Linked DNA regions of Canis lupus familiaris. The main gene of each other region encodes a partner of the protein of the gene in region 2 in a complex. Links are inferred from orthologs where the notes say so. Each region holds a gene or a part of one and is shown on either strand. Other genes may lie near its edges.

The links.
Region 1: ERCC2 (region 2) and POLR2L share a complex: the UniProt entries of both Homo sapiens proteins name them as parts of the TBP-based Pol II pre-initiation complex. The link is inferred for Canis lupus familiaris from reciprocal best matches to the Homo sapiens genes ERCC2 and POLR2L.

What each region holds. Positions count from the first base shown.
Region 1 is NC_049239.1:45,631,587-45,638,718, forward strand, and holds POLR2L (DNA-directed RNA polymerases I, II, and III subunit RPABC5), read right to left. Parts: upstream 3,476-7,132; 5' UTR 3,406-3,475; coding exon 3,311-3,405; intron 2,528-3,310; coding exon 2,419-2,527; 3' UTR 2,227-2,418; downstream 1-2,226. Other genes in the region: CD151 antigen, read left to right, coding at 150-236, 329-388. UniProt on the Homo sapiens protein: DNA-dependent RNA polymerase catalyzes the transcription of DNA into RNA using the four ribonucleoside triphosphates as substrates.
Region 2 is NC_049222.1:110,894,322-110,901,798, reverse strand, and holds part of ERCC2 (general transcription and DNA repair factor IIH helicase subunit XPD), read right to left. Parts: intron 6,871-7,477; coding exon 6,752-6,870; intron 4,153-6,751; coding exon 4,083-4,152; intron 3,999-4,082; coding exon 3,929-3,998; intron 3,830-3,928; coding exon 3,728-3,829; intron 2,605-3,727; coding exon 2,541-2,604; intron 2,021-2,540; coding exon 1,899-2,020; intron 1,037-1,898; coding exon 944-1,036; intron 843-943; coding exon 770-842; intron 502-769; coding exon 431-501; intron 328-430; coding exon 184-327; intron 79-183; coding exon 1-78. UniProt on the Homo sapiens protein: ATP-dependent 5'-3' DNA helicase. Component of the general transcription and DNA repair factor IIH (TFIIH) core complex, not absolutely essential for minimal transcription in vitro.

The DNA of each region.
Region 1 (7,132 bases), on a different chromosome or scaffold from region 2:
ATGCCTGGGGTCCCTGGGAAGGGCCGAGGAGCCAGGGGCCCAGGATGCTGGGGGTTGGTGTGGTCACACCTGGAGGGGGGTCGGGCTGCAGCAGTTGGGGGGGTGGCTAGAATCGCCTCCCTTCAGTGCCCTGACCCCTACTCTGCCAGGGTGGCTGCATCACCAAGCTGGAGACCTTCATCCAGGAACACCTGAGGGTCATCGGCGCTGTGGGCATTGGCATCGCCTGTGTGCAGGTTCGGGGGTGGGGTGGGACAGGCCCTGGTGGGTGCTGGGGCACACTATGTGGCTGGCACTGTGCCACACTCATGCTGGCCCTGTGCCACAGGTCTTTGGCATGATCTTCACATGCTGCCTGTACAAGAGCCTGAAGCTGGAACACTACTGAGCATGGGTGTACCACTGTGTATGCCGCAGCCTCGCCACCTGACTACTGAGCTGACACTACTGAGGGCCAGGAGCTGGGCTTCCAGGATGCTGCTCCTTCCCCCCTCCCCACTCTGCCAGGGAGGGTGCGTTCTTAAGCCCATGTGCACATCCCCAAACCATCACCATAACCTCTGGGGATCCCCACCCTCAGAGGGAGCTACAAGTGCCTTTCTCTGCAGACCAAAGGCCTGAAGCTTGCCCCCCCAGGGTGGGGAAGGAGCAGTACCTCTGCCTGTGAGTGGGGTCACAGGACCTTGGGGTTCCTGATGCCTGCGCTCAGCTGGAGGGGCGGACCCACTCTAGGATGCTCCTAGACCCCCAGATGTTCCCATGCAGTCTAAGGAGGACTTGGCTGGGTGGGGTAGGTGAAGGGAGTACAGGACACCTGCATGTGAGGAGTCCCAGGTGTCCGCAGATCCCTGGGAAAGCCAAGTAAGCCCGGTCCTGCCCTGGGGGTCCTGGGCCTCTTGTCCTGAAGTCTCTGCTGCCCGAGCCTCTGCTTGGACTTCCCCACCTCTCTCCCCAAAGGCCACACATTTACTTGTCCACAGTCCTCTCTCCTTCCCAGAAGCAGGGGGGTTTGTGGGTTTTATTCACTGCTGTTATCACAAATGCCTAGAACTGCTCGTGCCACACAATAGGCGCTCAATAAACGTTTGTGGAATGGATTGAGCTTATTGTGTTAGTGACTGTCAGGGTCCTGGTACTCAGGGCCTTCCCCCCACCAGGGTGGACAGAACCACCCACCCAGTGCCAGGACAGGGGCTGGGGCCCGGGGGGTACATTCTGGAGACTGATGGGACTCCAGCGAGAGGCAGCCAGTAGCAGGGACCGCTGAGCACAGGCTGTGAAGCAGAACCATGCCGGTTCTGGGACAGAAAAATGGTGGCAGTGGGGAGAGCCAGAGGCAATGGAGGCCTCAAATGGCCTAGACCTGCTTGTTTCCAAACGTCCTTCTGGCATGGGTAGCCGTTAGGGATGGGGAGAGGGCCTCTGGAACAGGACAGGAGAGGCCTGAGCTCTGCAGGGCATGTACCCCTGGCAGACCCTTCCTCCCCCTGCCGTGATAGGTTTGCTCATTGGCCCTCAGAGGACCGCATGTCAGATACCTGGGCAGCAGGGCTGGCCCTGAAGACGGTGTCAAGAGTCCCCTTCTCTCTTCTAACCACACACTCCTGCCTTCTGCCTGCTTAAGGGCACTAGGGCCTGGTAGACTCCTGTCCAGGGCGACAGCTGTCAGCTGTAAGCCTCAGTGGACCTGGAATAGGACAGATAGCTCTTGGGCAGGCCTGTAGGATTAAGTGCTAATACCCAGGCCACCGGGAGCTTGGCAAACCCTGACACCCAGCAGAGCCTCCTCAGGGCCACCCTCAACCCACTGTGCGGGTCTCAGTGCTGGCTATGGAGGCTGGGCACCATCCCTGCCCCTCCACAGGAACTTGGCTGGAGCCTAGAAGCTTCTGGCAGCAAGATCTCAGGATGGGCAGCCGAGACTGCAGCAGTTATTCCACTCAGGGCTCAAATATCTGGTTGTTGAGATCCTGGGAAGGGATGTGAGGATCTCCGTGCTTGTCCTAAAGGTCAACCAGAACCTGGTGGTGGGCAGGCCAATGTCTCCTGACCCTCAACCTGAGTGCTCTTGGCTGTCTGTGTACTGTCACTGGGCTGTGAGATGCCCTCCACCACCCCCGCCACCTCTGGGCCCTGAACGGTGAGAGCCACGTCTATCCCCAAACAGCTTCAAGCATGAGGCAGGACACAGAAACACCAGGGAGTCCCACAAAGCCAGGCCAACTGTTAGGACCTCTTCATGGTTCTGCAAAGACCTTTAATGGACAGTTCTTTCCAGAGCAGGGACACACATCCACAGGTGGTGGACAGGCATGCTCCATGCCACCCCGACCACACTGGAGTGCCTGGGGGCACGGCGCAGACGGCCCCTGGTGAGCACAGCGGGTGACCGGGTGACGGGCGTGAGCAGGTCACTTGTCACTTCTCCAGAGGCGCGTAGTTGAGCAGCTTCTCAATCAGGTCCACGTGTGCCAGCAGCATGCGGCGGCAGCAGTAGCGCTTCAGGCCCAGCGCATCCAGGGCATCTCTGTGGGTGAGGGGCAGATCACACCCGGTTGGGGCAGGCAGTCCTGGGCACACGGAGGACCCGAACCCTGCTGGAGCAAGCCCCCCCTCCCCGCCCCCGCGGAGGGAGCCGTCTCTCTGCCGTTTCCCAAGCCGATTAGAGTTGTCAGTGTCCCTGGGGCCCAGCCCCTGTTGCCCCAAGGGCTTCCAGAAAATCCCCAGAGCACTGCTCCGACGTGCAGCGCCGCCGAGCTGGGAAGCCGCAGGGCTGGGCGGTTCCTGCCCGGGGCTTCCAGGGCCTCCGGCCGGTTCCCTCACACTCGGTCTTTCCGACAGACTCCCCAGCAACCTGGCCTCCCCGCTCACCCCAAACGCCGCAGGCCGGGGTTAAAGGTGCAGACGCCCGCGAGGCCGGTGCTGACGCCCGCGCTGACGGGCAGCGACGGGAGAGCGGCCCCGGGACGGCCCGCTCCGCAGGGCTCCGTGGCCAGGAAGCCCGGCCCACGACCCCAGAGCCGCGGGCTCGCGGGCGCGGGGGCCTCCGAGGGCGGGAGGGCAGGGAGCCCCGAACTGCTCCGGGCAGGAGCCACGACCTGCCGGGGTCCGTGTGCAAGTCCCCGCGGTCCCGCAGTCCCGCTGCCCGCCTGCCCCCTTGCTCGCGGCCGGCACCTGGTCCCTCCGGGGCCCCCCGCGCCCCGCGCCCCGCCCCCCGCGCCCCGGCCCGACCCGCCGGCCCCGCGCCCAGCAGGGCCCCCCCCGCCCCCCGCGGCCCCGGCTCCGCACGCCGCCCGGCCCGGAGCCTCACCCCTCGGTGTACTCGGCCTGCAGCAGCCCCAGGTAGGCTTCCCACTTGTTGCCGACGATCTTGCCGCAGGTGAAGCAGCGGACCGGGATGATCATGGCGCTGGCGGCGGCGGCGGCGGCGGCGCGGGGACTGGCAGACGGGGCGGCGCTTCCGCCCGGGAGCAGGCCCCGCCGAGGGCGCGTCCATGGCGCGGGGGGGAGAAGTCCCAGTCCCGCCACGCCCCCGGCCGCCCCCGGCCCGCCCCCCGGCCCCACTGCCGCCGCCGTCCGTTCCCTGCCGGGCCGAGCTCCTTCCGCGCGGACCGGGGGCTCCGGGGCCCACGCGGCCGCTACCGGAGCAAGCGTCGCCCCCCCCCCGGCCCTTCGCCTTGGTACGTCCCGGCCTACGGCGGCCTAGCGGGACCGAAAGGGCCCGACGGCGGCGCTTCGCCTTCCTCGTGTCCGCATGACTGACAGCTGCGCGGCGGGCGGACCGCGCGCAGGTACAGAGCCGGTCCGCGGGGATGCGGCCGAGGTCCCGCCCCTCGGAACCCCCGACCGGGACCCGGACCCGAGCCGGGGCCGAGCCGAGCGGGCGCAGAGTTGGAGCCCCGAGCCGAGCCGCAGCAACAAGTGGCGGGGCCGGGCCGGGGCCGGGGGCGCGGGGACCCGCGGCGGGGGGCGGGGGCAGGGGGGCCCCGGAGGGACCTTCCCGCGGCCCCTCCCGGCCCGGCGCGGCGAAGGCTGTCCCCGCCCCGGCCCGGCCCGCTCGGCCGCACTGTAGCCCCGACGGCCGGCTCGGCCGCAGCTCCTGCCCCCCCAGCGCCCCAGCCTGCCCTCTGCGGCCCTGGGGGAAGGGCCTGGGGGTGCGGGCGGTCGGGGCTCTGAGGACTCAGAGCAGGGCGGAGGCTGGAGCGGGTGGTCCTGGAGGGCGGCGTGGAAGAGGCGCCCTGCAGAGCCCGCGTGTGTCGGGGAGCGCATTGATCCTGGCCGGGGGACCCCTTGGATAGGGCCCTGGAGGCCATACCTGCGGGCAGCTCTAGGCCGCGGGTTCGTGCCAGGGCTGGAGTAGGTGGTGGAGTCAGAGATGGTGGGGCAGCAGCCACAGAGGGTGGAAGGGACGATGAGGCTGTGTCCCTGGGGGCGGGGTGAGGTGAGCTCCTCGATCCGGGGGCCACGGGGGGGGGGTGTGTGCAGATCTGTGTGGGGGGAGGCAGGGAGGGCTCCCTGGAGGAGGCAGACTTTGGGGCTGTGGGGATGGATGTGTTCCAGAGCAGCGCCTGCGGGGGGGGGGGGGGGGGCGGGTGTCAGCTAGTCAGGTGGGCTGGGCATGAGTGGGGCCTGTACTCCCCACCCTCCCACGGTGGGTGGTGGATTCTGGCCTCAGCTTCAGGGAGGGAGCCTGAGGGTCCCCTGGGGCCTGGGAGGCGCTGGCCACCTCTGCCTGGGCCCTGGACAGCCTGCCCAGTGCATTTGTCATCCTCCACGCTGCCACGTGCAGAGCCACGAGAGAGGCCACTTCCCTTCCCAGCTGCCCCCCCACCCCACCCACTGGACGCACATCCTGTGCCTGGACAAGAGGGACAGGAGAGGGGGCCTGGAGTCACGGTGGCCTGGGGTCAGACCCAGGCTCCCCTGCAGAGACTATTGGCAACTGTGCAGGTGAGGGACACAGCGGAGGGGACCCAGGCTGTCAGCTGGGTGGAACTTGGGGAGCCGCTGGGGTGGAAGGCTTCCTGGAGGAGGGGCCCAGGGCCTGCCCCACCCATGCTCCTGCTGGGAGTAGTTGTTTACTCTGAAAGAGTGAGGGGAATGAGCCTCCCGCCTTGATCCAGGCCTGAGCCAAGTTGACATTCCTGGAATTCTGTGAGCTGTGTGTAGATTTGGGGGTGGTGGTGGCCTCTTCCTGGGCTCCTCCCTCCAGCTCCCTGATTTCCAAGGACAGACGGTGGGGAGCATCCCGGCTGCACCCTCAGCACAGGTGTGCCGGGACACCCTGTGGGGCCTTGGGTCCTCTTCTCTGTCTCTATCCTGCCTTCCTCAACCCTGCAGGACACTGGGGAGCCTCAGAGGTCAGCCCTGCCAGCTGCCTCGGCCCTGGGTGGCCTCTGTGTGTGTGTTGTGGGGGGAGTTGGGTTGGGCGGGAGGGAGCCCTTAGGGCCCCAGGCACTGGTGGGGAGGAGGGGTGGGGAGGGGAGCCTCGGGGGCCTGCAGGGGAAGGGGGGCCCTCACTTCTCCTCTCTGGTGCAGTGTCAGCACAGATGTGGCCCAGGCCTCTGGGGAGGGAGACTGCCAGCGTTTGGAGCATAGGGTATCTTGTGGGGGGGGCATAGGGAGGGAGGGAGGGCTGTGCCACATGTGGTTGGGAACCCGTGAGCCACGCTTCCTGCCAGAAAAGGGTCACTGCAGGGCAGGCAGGGGCGGAGGACAGCAGTGGAAGCTTCTGCTGCTGAGACGCTCCAGCCAAGAGCCCGGCCCAGTGTACAGGGAATCAGCCGACCCTGCCCACCAGTCCTGGCATCATTTCTCCGTCTGTAGAGTGTGGGTAGAACCTATAGCTGCCCAGCTGGAGGGACCCAGTCCTGGTAATGCAGGCCTGGCCCCTGCTCCTCTTGCTCTGGGCAGATGCAGATGTGCACTCACGGGGAGGGGGGGGGAGCGCTCTACAGGGTGGAGGGTCCCTGCACGGCCATGCGGCCATGCTCGTATGCCTCCTCTGGGTCACTCAGGGTCCCTTGCCTGCTGAGCCTGCACTAGCCCTGGGCCCTGGGGATTGAGGAGTCTTGAGTGACGATGTCTGCAAGCGTGCTTGAGGCTGTGGTGGCCCTGACCTAGTGACCCCTTGGACGAGCCCGGGCTCAGGGCATTTGGGAACAACACTGCCAGGCAGCCCTGTGGTCTGGGCCCCATGTGGTAGGGCTCTGGGGGAACCACACTGGCCTGGAGGTGGGTGGGCACACACTGGGTACCTGAGACAGGGTCCTGATGGTTTCTCTCAACCACCACCTCCAGGACAGAAATGCCCCCCTGGGGGGTGGGGGGGCTGCAGGAGGAGCAGGGATGTAGGGGAGGACCCTGAGATGGGGGTTGGCCTTGCCCAGGCTCTGTGTGTGTAGGGGGTACCCCTCCCCCAGGGCGGGCCGGGTGGGCCTGGGGACTGTGGGGCCTGGGGCCTGCAGGGGCTGGATCAGCAGCCGGAAGGCCGACACCACAGGACTGTTTGTGTTGGCGGGGCCTCCCTGCCTCCTCAAAGCCGCCTCAGAGCCTGCTGGGCCTGGGGGCCCCGGGGAGGCGGCTGGCTCTGCTCTGCCCAGGATCTGTCCCTGCTGGGGTGTGTGCCCCCAGGCCAGGCCCCTGCTGCCTCCCAGCCCCTGGCATCCTCCCACCTTTGTGTCCGCTTTTGGGGTAGTTCCTCTTTGAGTGGGACCTGGATCCGGCCAGGTAGGTGCCCACGGCCTTCTCATGGCTTATGCTGTTCTGGGGTCCTCCAACCACTGCCCATCCCAGAGCCCTGGAGAGTCGAGCAGGCCCAGCCCAGGACTGCCGGTGTGTTGGTCTTGGGGCTCTTCCTCGGGTTGTCCCTGCTGCCTACCACAGGTTCCATTCCCTGGGATGCGGCACATCAGACCCTGCACGCAGAGGATGGGGAAGGAGGCTTCCTGGAGGAGGAGGCTGGGCCTGGGTGAACCATGGAGCCAGCTGGTGTCCCATCTGGCCCCTGCAGCCTGGCCCAGCTGCACAGCCATGTCTGGGCTGCCCTAGATGGGAGTAGGGGCTCTGCACTCTTGGAGGAGGGCTATGGAGGTCAGAAGGGCCAGAGGTCATTCATGGAGGATCCAGGGGC
Region 2 (7,477 bases):
CAGGTTGAGGTTGGCATCAGTGAGGTGCTCCTGGATCCAGCGAGGCAGTTTCCCACGCTTGTCTGCCCGGGCAAACCGCTTTCAGGAAGAGGGCAAGGAAGAGAGGGAAACATCAGGACCCTGGGGGTGGGGGTGGGCATGGCCCAGGAAGAGCCTGGCAGGCAGAGGCCCCTATGCACACACCTTATCAGCAAAGACCATGAGGCCATAGTCCGTCTTGCCCCGAATGGCACGACCCACACACTGGGCTGCGTGGCGCATGGCATCGAAGGTGAGGAAGTCATTTTCTCGGATCTGGAACTGGTCACGTAGGTACTCCAGCCGTGCCTGCCCGGAGAAGAAACCAGAGTGGTCCCCCTGCCTCCTCCACCCAAGTCCCAGGAGGGCCCAAGAGGCCCAAACATCCTTAGCAACTGCACGTGCTGCTCACCTTAAGAATACGGCTCTGGGTGTAGACGTAGGGGACACCGAACATGATGACAGCCCGCCCGTAGTGGTGCACTGGGGGAGCGAGCACAGGAAGGGGAGCAGGGTTACCAGTGTGGTGCACTGGAGGGGCCAACTTTGCAGGGCCCAGAAGGTTGTGCTGTTCGAGTGGGGAAAAGCATGGGCATGCTTCGAGGGCCCAGCTGGGTGCCCAGGGATAGAGAGGAGGGGAGGGGAGGTCCCTGTGTGCCCAGGCTGTGTCTGTGTGGAAGGGGGGGTCCCGTGTGAACAAACAGCTAGAGCTCCAGGCAGGCACCTGGAAGGGGAGAGCCTGTCCACTCACCAAAGTCAATTCCCTCGGACACTTTGCCTCGGGCCACTGACAGCAGGATGGCTCCACGGCCATTCTCACAGGCCTGGGGAGGGGAGGCCAAGACAGGAGACACATGCTCAGAACTGCCTCCTTCGGGCCCTCTGCACACAGTCTCCTAGGGCACCCTCCCACACCCCCACCCACCTCCTGGTACTTCTCCAGGGCAACGCTGGTCTCAGCCCCATCTTGGGTCTCAATGAAGAGCAGCTTATTCCTCTGGATGTTTTCAAGAATGCCCTAGGGAAGGACAGACAGCAGGCAGGTCAGGCTGGGGGTTGGTACAGGCATCCTGGCTAAAGTCAACTCTGCCCCGATTCCCATGCTATAGACCACTTGTCTTCCCAGGCCTTGGCAGGCCAGTAGAAACTCGGGGAGGGAGCGGGGAGGTGGTATAGGCTGAGGCTGGCCTCACTCCTTGCGGGAAGCTCTGCAATCCAGGCAAGAACCCACCCCTGCCCCCCATCTTTCAGATAAGTGGGGCAGGCAGAGCGCTCAAGATGGCCAACTGGGACACTCCGCCCCTCCAGCTGGTGGTTAGTGGAGGGGCTGATGGAGGCCAGGCCACGGCTGCCCAGAGATTTCAGTGACCCCACACTAGCCATGCGACATTGATCAAGGACAGACGCTGGGACAGAAGGTACAGAAACACACCCCCACAGCGATGGGTCACCTGTACCATTCAGGGGGGCAAGTGCTTTCTAGTGATTAGCCAAGTTCTCTCCTCTCACCCTTAACAAGCACCTGCTTTCACCCACCCAAGAGCTGGGCCGTGGTGCCCTAGAAGCAGACATGTCACGGCAGGCCCCTCCCACACTCCCATCCTTGCAGCCACCCAGGGCCTGGCTGTGGTGAGCCCCATTTCCAGAACGCTCTATGACCTCACCCCTGCACTGTCCCACAGGGGCTCTTAAGTTTTTAACCGGGATGTGGGAGGAAGGGGGGGACCAGGGTATGATGCTGTTTATTCTTTGAACTGTTCAGATGTTTTAGATCCATGTTACCACTTAAAACACAAGACAGACAAAGCCAACACACAGAGGAACAGAGCCAAGAACAGAGGAGAGTGGGGCCTTCCTGGAGAGCAGGTGGCTGGGCTTACCTGCTCATACCAGGAAGCCACGGTGCTCTCCATGTACTGGTAGCTGGTGAAGAAGGCCACGATGCCATCAGGGACAACAGCAGACATCTCCAGCAGGAGGTTCCCATAGTTCCGGATCACCGCTAGGGGTGGGGAGGTAGGGGTCAGAGTGTGCCTGGGTCCTGCTCCCTACTCCCTCGTCAGAGCTTTCCTAACTAATGCCCTGTCTTGAACTTGGAGTTCCTAGAAATCCCAGAGGCCACCAGTAGGGCTGTTCACATACTTTCCACTTCTCTTTCTGGCCTGAGAGAACTGCACCACCCCACCCCACCCCCCGCCCCTGAAGTTAGGCGTGGCCATGTGACTCGACCTAGCCAATGAAATGCATGAAGTGGCTATGTGTCACTTCCAGGTAAACCCTCGTGAGGCCCAGCACCATTACCAGGATCCTTGCCGTCACAATTTAGGGGACGTGGTAAGGGTTCCTGGAGTGAGAAACCACGGGGCAGGCCCCCACCAGTCCACAGTGTCACATACTGTGAGCAAAAAGTAACCTCTGTGTCAAGCCACTGTAATTTGGGGATGTTTGTTACTGCAGCATGACTTAGCCCACTGATACACCTCCCCTCTCAGGAGCCACACAAACCACCATGAGCAGCATACCAATATCTTCCCGGGTCTCAAATTTAGAGCTAATGGCCACCTGGTCATTGCCACGACCAATGATCTGCAGAGAGCAACAGACGTCACAATAAGCAAACGATAAGCAAACAGCACCATTCTGATGCGTTAGCTGCCTGCCGGTGCCAGGCTGAGCTTTTTATAGACACAATGTCATTGAGTGAACCCTCAGCTCCCCTGTTATCTGCACTGCACGGATGGATGACCTCAGGCCCAGATGTGAGCTGCCTGCCTGCCCAAGGTCACGTGGCAAATCAAGGGCAGAGCCGACACTGAACCCAAGTCTGTCTGTGTTGCTAACCAGCAAATATGTGTTACTGGCCTCAGCCTCCCAGCCACACAGTTCCAGAAGAAAGGGTTCCACCACAACCTCACCAACCGCCAGCCACAGGTGCACCTCCCCTTCCCCCCCTCCCCCCCCCCAGCAACTCCACAAAACCATGATGCAGAATGTGGCCGTCACCAGTCCACAACCCCTGAAGGGCAATTCCAAGACCCAAGGAACTCCAGATATTTAAGTTTGGTGCAAACTCCTATAGTGGCAAAATCTGCCCTGACCTGAGTCTATTCAGAGTCCTGACTTACCTCCCTTAGTTTGACGTTTCAAAACATGTTCCTGCTGAAATAAAACTTTCACTGGAGGGAGCTGCCCAGACCCCACTGGGGATGTCACATACTGTACAGCATGTGGTTTGTCTTTAAAATCTGGAAAATTCTCAATTCTAAAATACATCTGGCCCAAGGGATTCAGATAAGGAATTAAGGGCTCATGTTACGATGCCTGTTTTACAAAGGAGGCTGAGGCAGAGAAGGGTCATCATCAAGGTCATGACCAGATGATGAACCAGGCAAAGCCCACATTAACCAAGATGCTGACTGAGGGCCGACTGGTGCCAGGCTCTGGGCCACATAAGCATCTTGTATCCACTATCTCACTATCACCTCAACCGCCCTGGGAGGTCAGGGAGGATGCATCCCCATGTTACAGGTTAGAAACTGAGGCTTGGGGAGTCAGACCCACAGGAAGCAGTAGCATCAAGCCCAGATCTATCTGAATCAAAGCCTATGCCCTCAGGCTAATACTCTCCTGCCTGAGCAGCCTGAGAGGGAACAGGAGGACGAGAGCTGACACATCTCCCCTGGCCCAGCATCCACCCTCTCCCACGCACCATAGGGCAGAGGCAGACCCGGGCCAGCGTCATGGTGAAGGTTGCCATGGTGACGGGGTGGAAGTCCAGAATCTTGGGGTAGATGTCCAGTGGGGACAGCGTCTATAGCAGGGACAGCAGGAGGGATCTTAGCAGGACCGGGCAGAAACCAGGATCCCCATAGTAGAGGACTGGGAGTTTAGGGCAGATAAGGGTCCTCACCCCAGATGTGATGATGACAGACTGGAAACGCTCAAACACGGGTTTGATGGCCAGTGAAGCATCCATGCAGCTATAGGAAGCAGAGGAGGGTGGTGAGGACCATGCTTGGGCCCCCGTGGTCTGTTGACAGCCTCACACTGCGGTTGGGTCTCACCTGAAGTGCAGGATGGGGTTGGCAATGGTGGGGGTCCTGTCATCAAAGGGCTCGATGATGATGGTGAAACCTACAACCGGGTGAGATTCCAGGTCACCGGTCATAGCCAAGCCCACTTGTCTATTACCTCCTCCCCCCATTAGTGATTGGGGCCAACCACCAGTTGCTCAAGCTTAAAACCCAGTCTTTGGGAGTCCAAAGTACACCCCAACCTGCCCGCTTCTCCCAGGGCTGACATCCACTCAGGGAGCATCATGAGCAGAGAGCACTAAAGGTTTACTCCTCAGACACTCTCAAGGCTCTAAGAACCCACACCACCACTCAAGCCAAAGCCTGGAGCCTTCCATGATCATGGTATCTAAGCCATGGGTCAAGCTCTGCCTCCAAAGCCTATCTGCAATCTGACCACTGCCCCCACTCCCTCCCCCACTATCACCTCTAGCCTGGACCATTGCAGTCACCTCACTGGGCATCCAGCTCTTGCTGCCCCTGCTCCCCTCCCAGAAGCAGAGGGACCCTGTAAAATTCTGATTCAGGTCACATCCCTGCCCTGCTCAGAAGCCCTGCACAGCTCCCCATACTCCTTCCGGAGTCCAAAATTATCTGCGAGAACCCGCCACGCTGACCCATTTTCTCCTAGCTCACAGGCCTCCTAAGTTTCAAAAACCACCAGGCTCACTCCACCCCAGGGCCTTTGTACTTGCTGGCCTCACAGCCTGAAAAGCTTCCCAAGGCAGCTGGTTCCATTTGGTCATTTGGAACTCAGCTCAAATGTCAGCACCTCAGGGCTTCCCTGGCCATCCTGGCCACTGCAGGCATGCTCCAACATGGCAACATTTTTCTTGTGAAAAAGTATCCCTTTCTGGAATTATCTTTTTTATTTGAGTCTTTGTTACTTGTCTTCTCCTCTACAGTGTAACTGCCAGGAGATCAGGAATGGGGTCCCTCTTGGTTTCTGCCACTTCCTCAGTGCTGGGCAGGACCCATTTGTTGAAAAAAAAAAAAACCAAAAACACAGGTGGGGATGCCTGGGTGGCTCAGCGGTTGAGCATCTGCCTTCGGCTCAGGTCTTGATCCTGGGGTCTCAGGATCCAGTCCCACACTGGGCTCCTTACAGGGAGCCTGCTTCTCTCCCTGCCGCTCTCTCTCATGAATAAATACAAATAAAATTTTTCTTAAAAATAGGCAAATGAGGGATCCCTGGGTGGCGCAGCGGTTTGGCGCCTGCCTTTGGCCCAGGGCGCGATCCTGGAGACCCGGGATCGAATCCCACGTCAGGCTCCCGGTGCATGGAGCCTGCTTCTCCCTCTGCCTGTGTCTCTGCCTCTCTCTCTCTCACTGTGTGCCTATCATGAATAAATAAAAATTTAAAAAAAAAATAGGCAAATGAATGAATTCACATATTCAATTTTACTTAATTAAAAAAAAAAAAAAAGTTGGGATGCTTGAGTGGCTCAGTGACTGAGCGTCGGCCCTTGGCTCAGGGTGTGATCCTGGAGTTCCGGGATCGAGTCCCACATCGGGCTCCTCACAGGGAGCCTGCTTCTCCCTCTGCCTGTGTCTCTGCCTCTCTCTGTCTCTCATGAATAAATAAATAAAATCTTAAAAAAAAAAATCCTCTGTGCCTGGCCCTGTACTGGGGACACAGTGGGAACCATGACATCTCTGGCCCTGCCCTCTCAGGGCTCATAGTCCTGTCCCCAGAGAGTGACCACTCAGAGTAGACAGAGCTGGAACAGGAGAGCCAAGAGGAAGAGACACACCCTGGGGGGTCAGGGAGGACCTCCTGGAGAAGGGAACATTTTTAACAAGCCAAGAACTGAAGGATGAGTAGGAGGTAGTTGGGGGCTAAGGAATATCGGGATAGACATTCCAGGCAGAAGAATGTGAGGTGTTGGTGGACAGGGAAGTGGGCAGAAGAGGAGAAAGCCAGCCCCAGAAGGAAGAAGGGGAAGGACAGGGGGATGGACACGGAAGGAAGCTTCTAGTGGGACTTGCTGCTGATGGATGCTGATTTGGGGGACAGCCTCTCTATCCTCTAGGCTGGGTACAGGGTATCAGGAAGCCTGACCTGGTTTCCAGGATAGAGTAGTAATCCCCAGGGATCAGACTGAGCCCTCAGCCAGTTTAATGCTAAGGAAGGGGAGGTAGTGCTGACCAGTAAAGTCTCTGGTCCCCTCTCCCTGGCACCTGAGTGCTATACTCAGCTCCTTGTCCCCTCCCTGCCATGCCTTCCTGCCCCCCCAATCCTAGGTACCAGGTCCCACATCTCTCTCCAGCCCCTCTCATCCTCCCATCCTGCCTCAGGTCCCTGCCTCTGCTCTTCCCTTGCTTGGAATCTTCCATGGCTTCCCACTTCCCAGAAGTAGAAGGGCCAACTCCTTACCACCATACCCTACAGTGTAAGTGACCCCACAGAGCTTCTCTGGCCTCGTCCCCCATCCTACTCCATTCTGCAGCCAGAGGGAGCCTCTGAAAATATACATCTGAGCACAAGGCTTCACTAGCTCAAGGACTATCTGTGGAACCTCACTGTACTCGAAACAAAACCCAAACTCCTGAGCCCAGCCCTACAAGGTCCTGAAGGTCCCAGTCCCAACCCCCTGGACTCTGCTGGGATCCTGATTCCAGCTGCCAGGGGGCCTGGCAGAGGCAGGAGATGAGCTTACCCTTGGCATAGGTGCTGACGAGGGTGGCGAAGTTAGCGAGGAGGGTGAGGGGAGAGAAGTCCGCAAGATCGGCAATCTCCAGGGTGTGCAAGAGGGAGCGGAGGCGTTCGGCACAGAATCTGGGGCGGAAGCCATGTGGGGTCAGGTCAGTCCCTCTCTACCCACTGTCAGCGCGCGGCCACACACGCCTCCCCAGGTGACTGGGTGCTCCATGAGGAGAGACTGGAGCCGTTTCAGTCACCAGTGTCTCCTCACCGTACAGCTGCATGTCCTACAGAGCCACGGCCAGATGATGGTGTATACAGAGCAGTGACCATACATCGAGTCACATGGAAACATGTCCCATGTGGTCACACAATCTCACGCAGGCTCTTGGTTCAAAGAGGAGACCCAGAGCTACACCCAGAATCCCAGTCACAACCCGAACCTGCATGGCCACACATACACTCACACCCAGGACCCCTCCCACTGCATCAGTCACACTCGGCCACCCTGGTGACACATACATTCAGAGAACCACACATTCACAGGGTACAATCCCACACACCCTTCATGGACACACACACACAAGGTCACCCAGTCACAAACACCGACAGTCAGGCTTGAGGCTGTCACCCTTCAAGGAGGGCAGGTCCTAGAACAGGAGCGCCTGGTTTCAGAGCCAGGCAGACGGTCAGAGTTTTAGAACCAGACTCCGGACATCACTGCTTCAAGTCCATCTTCTCT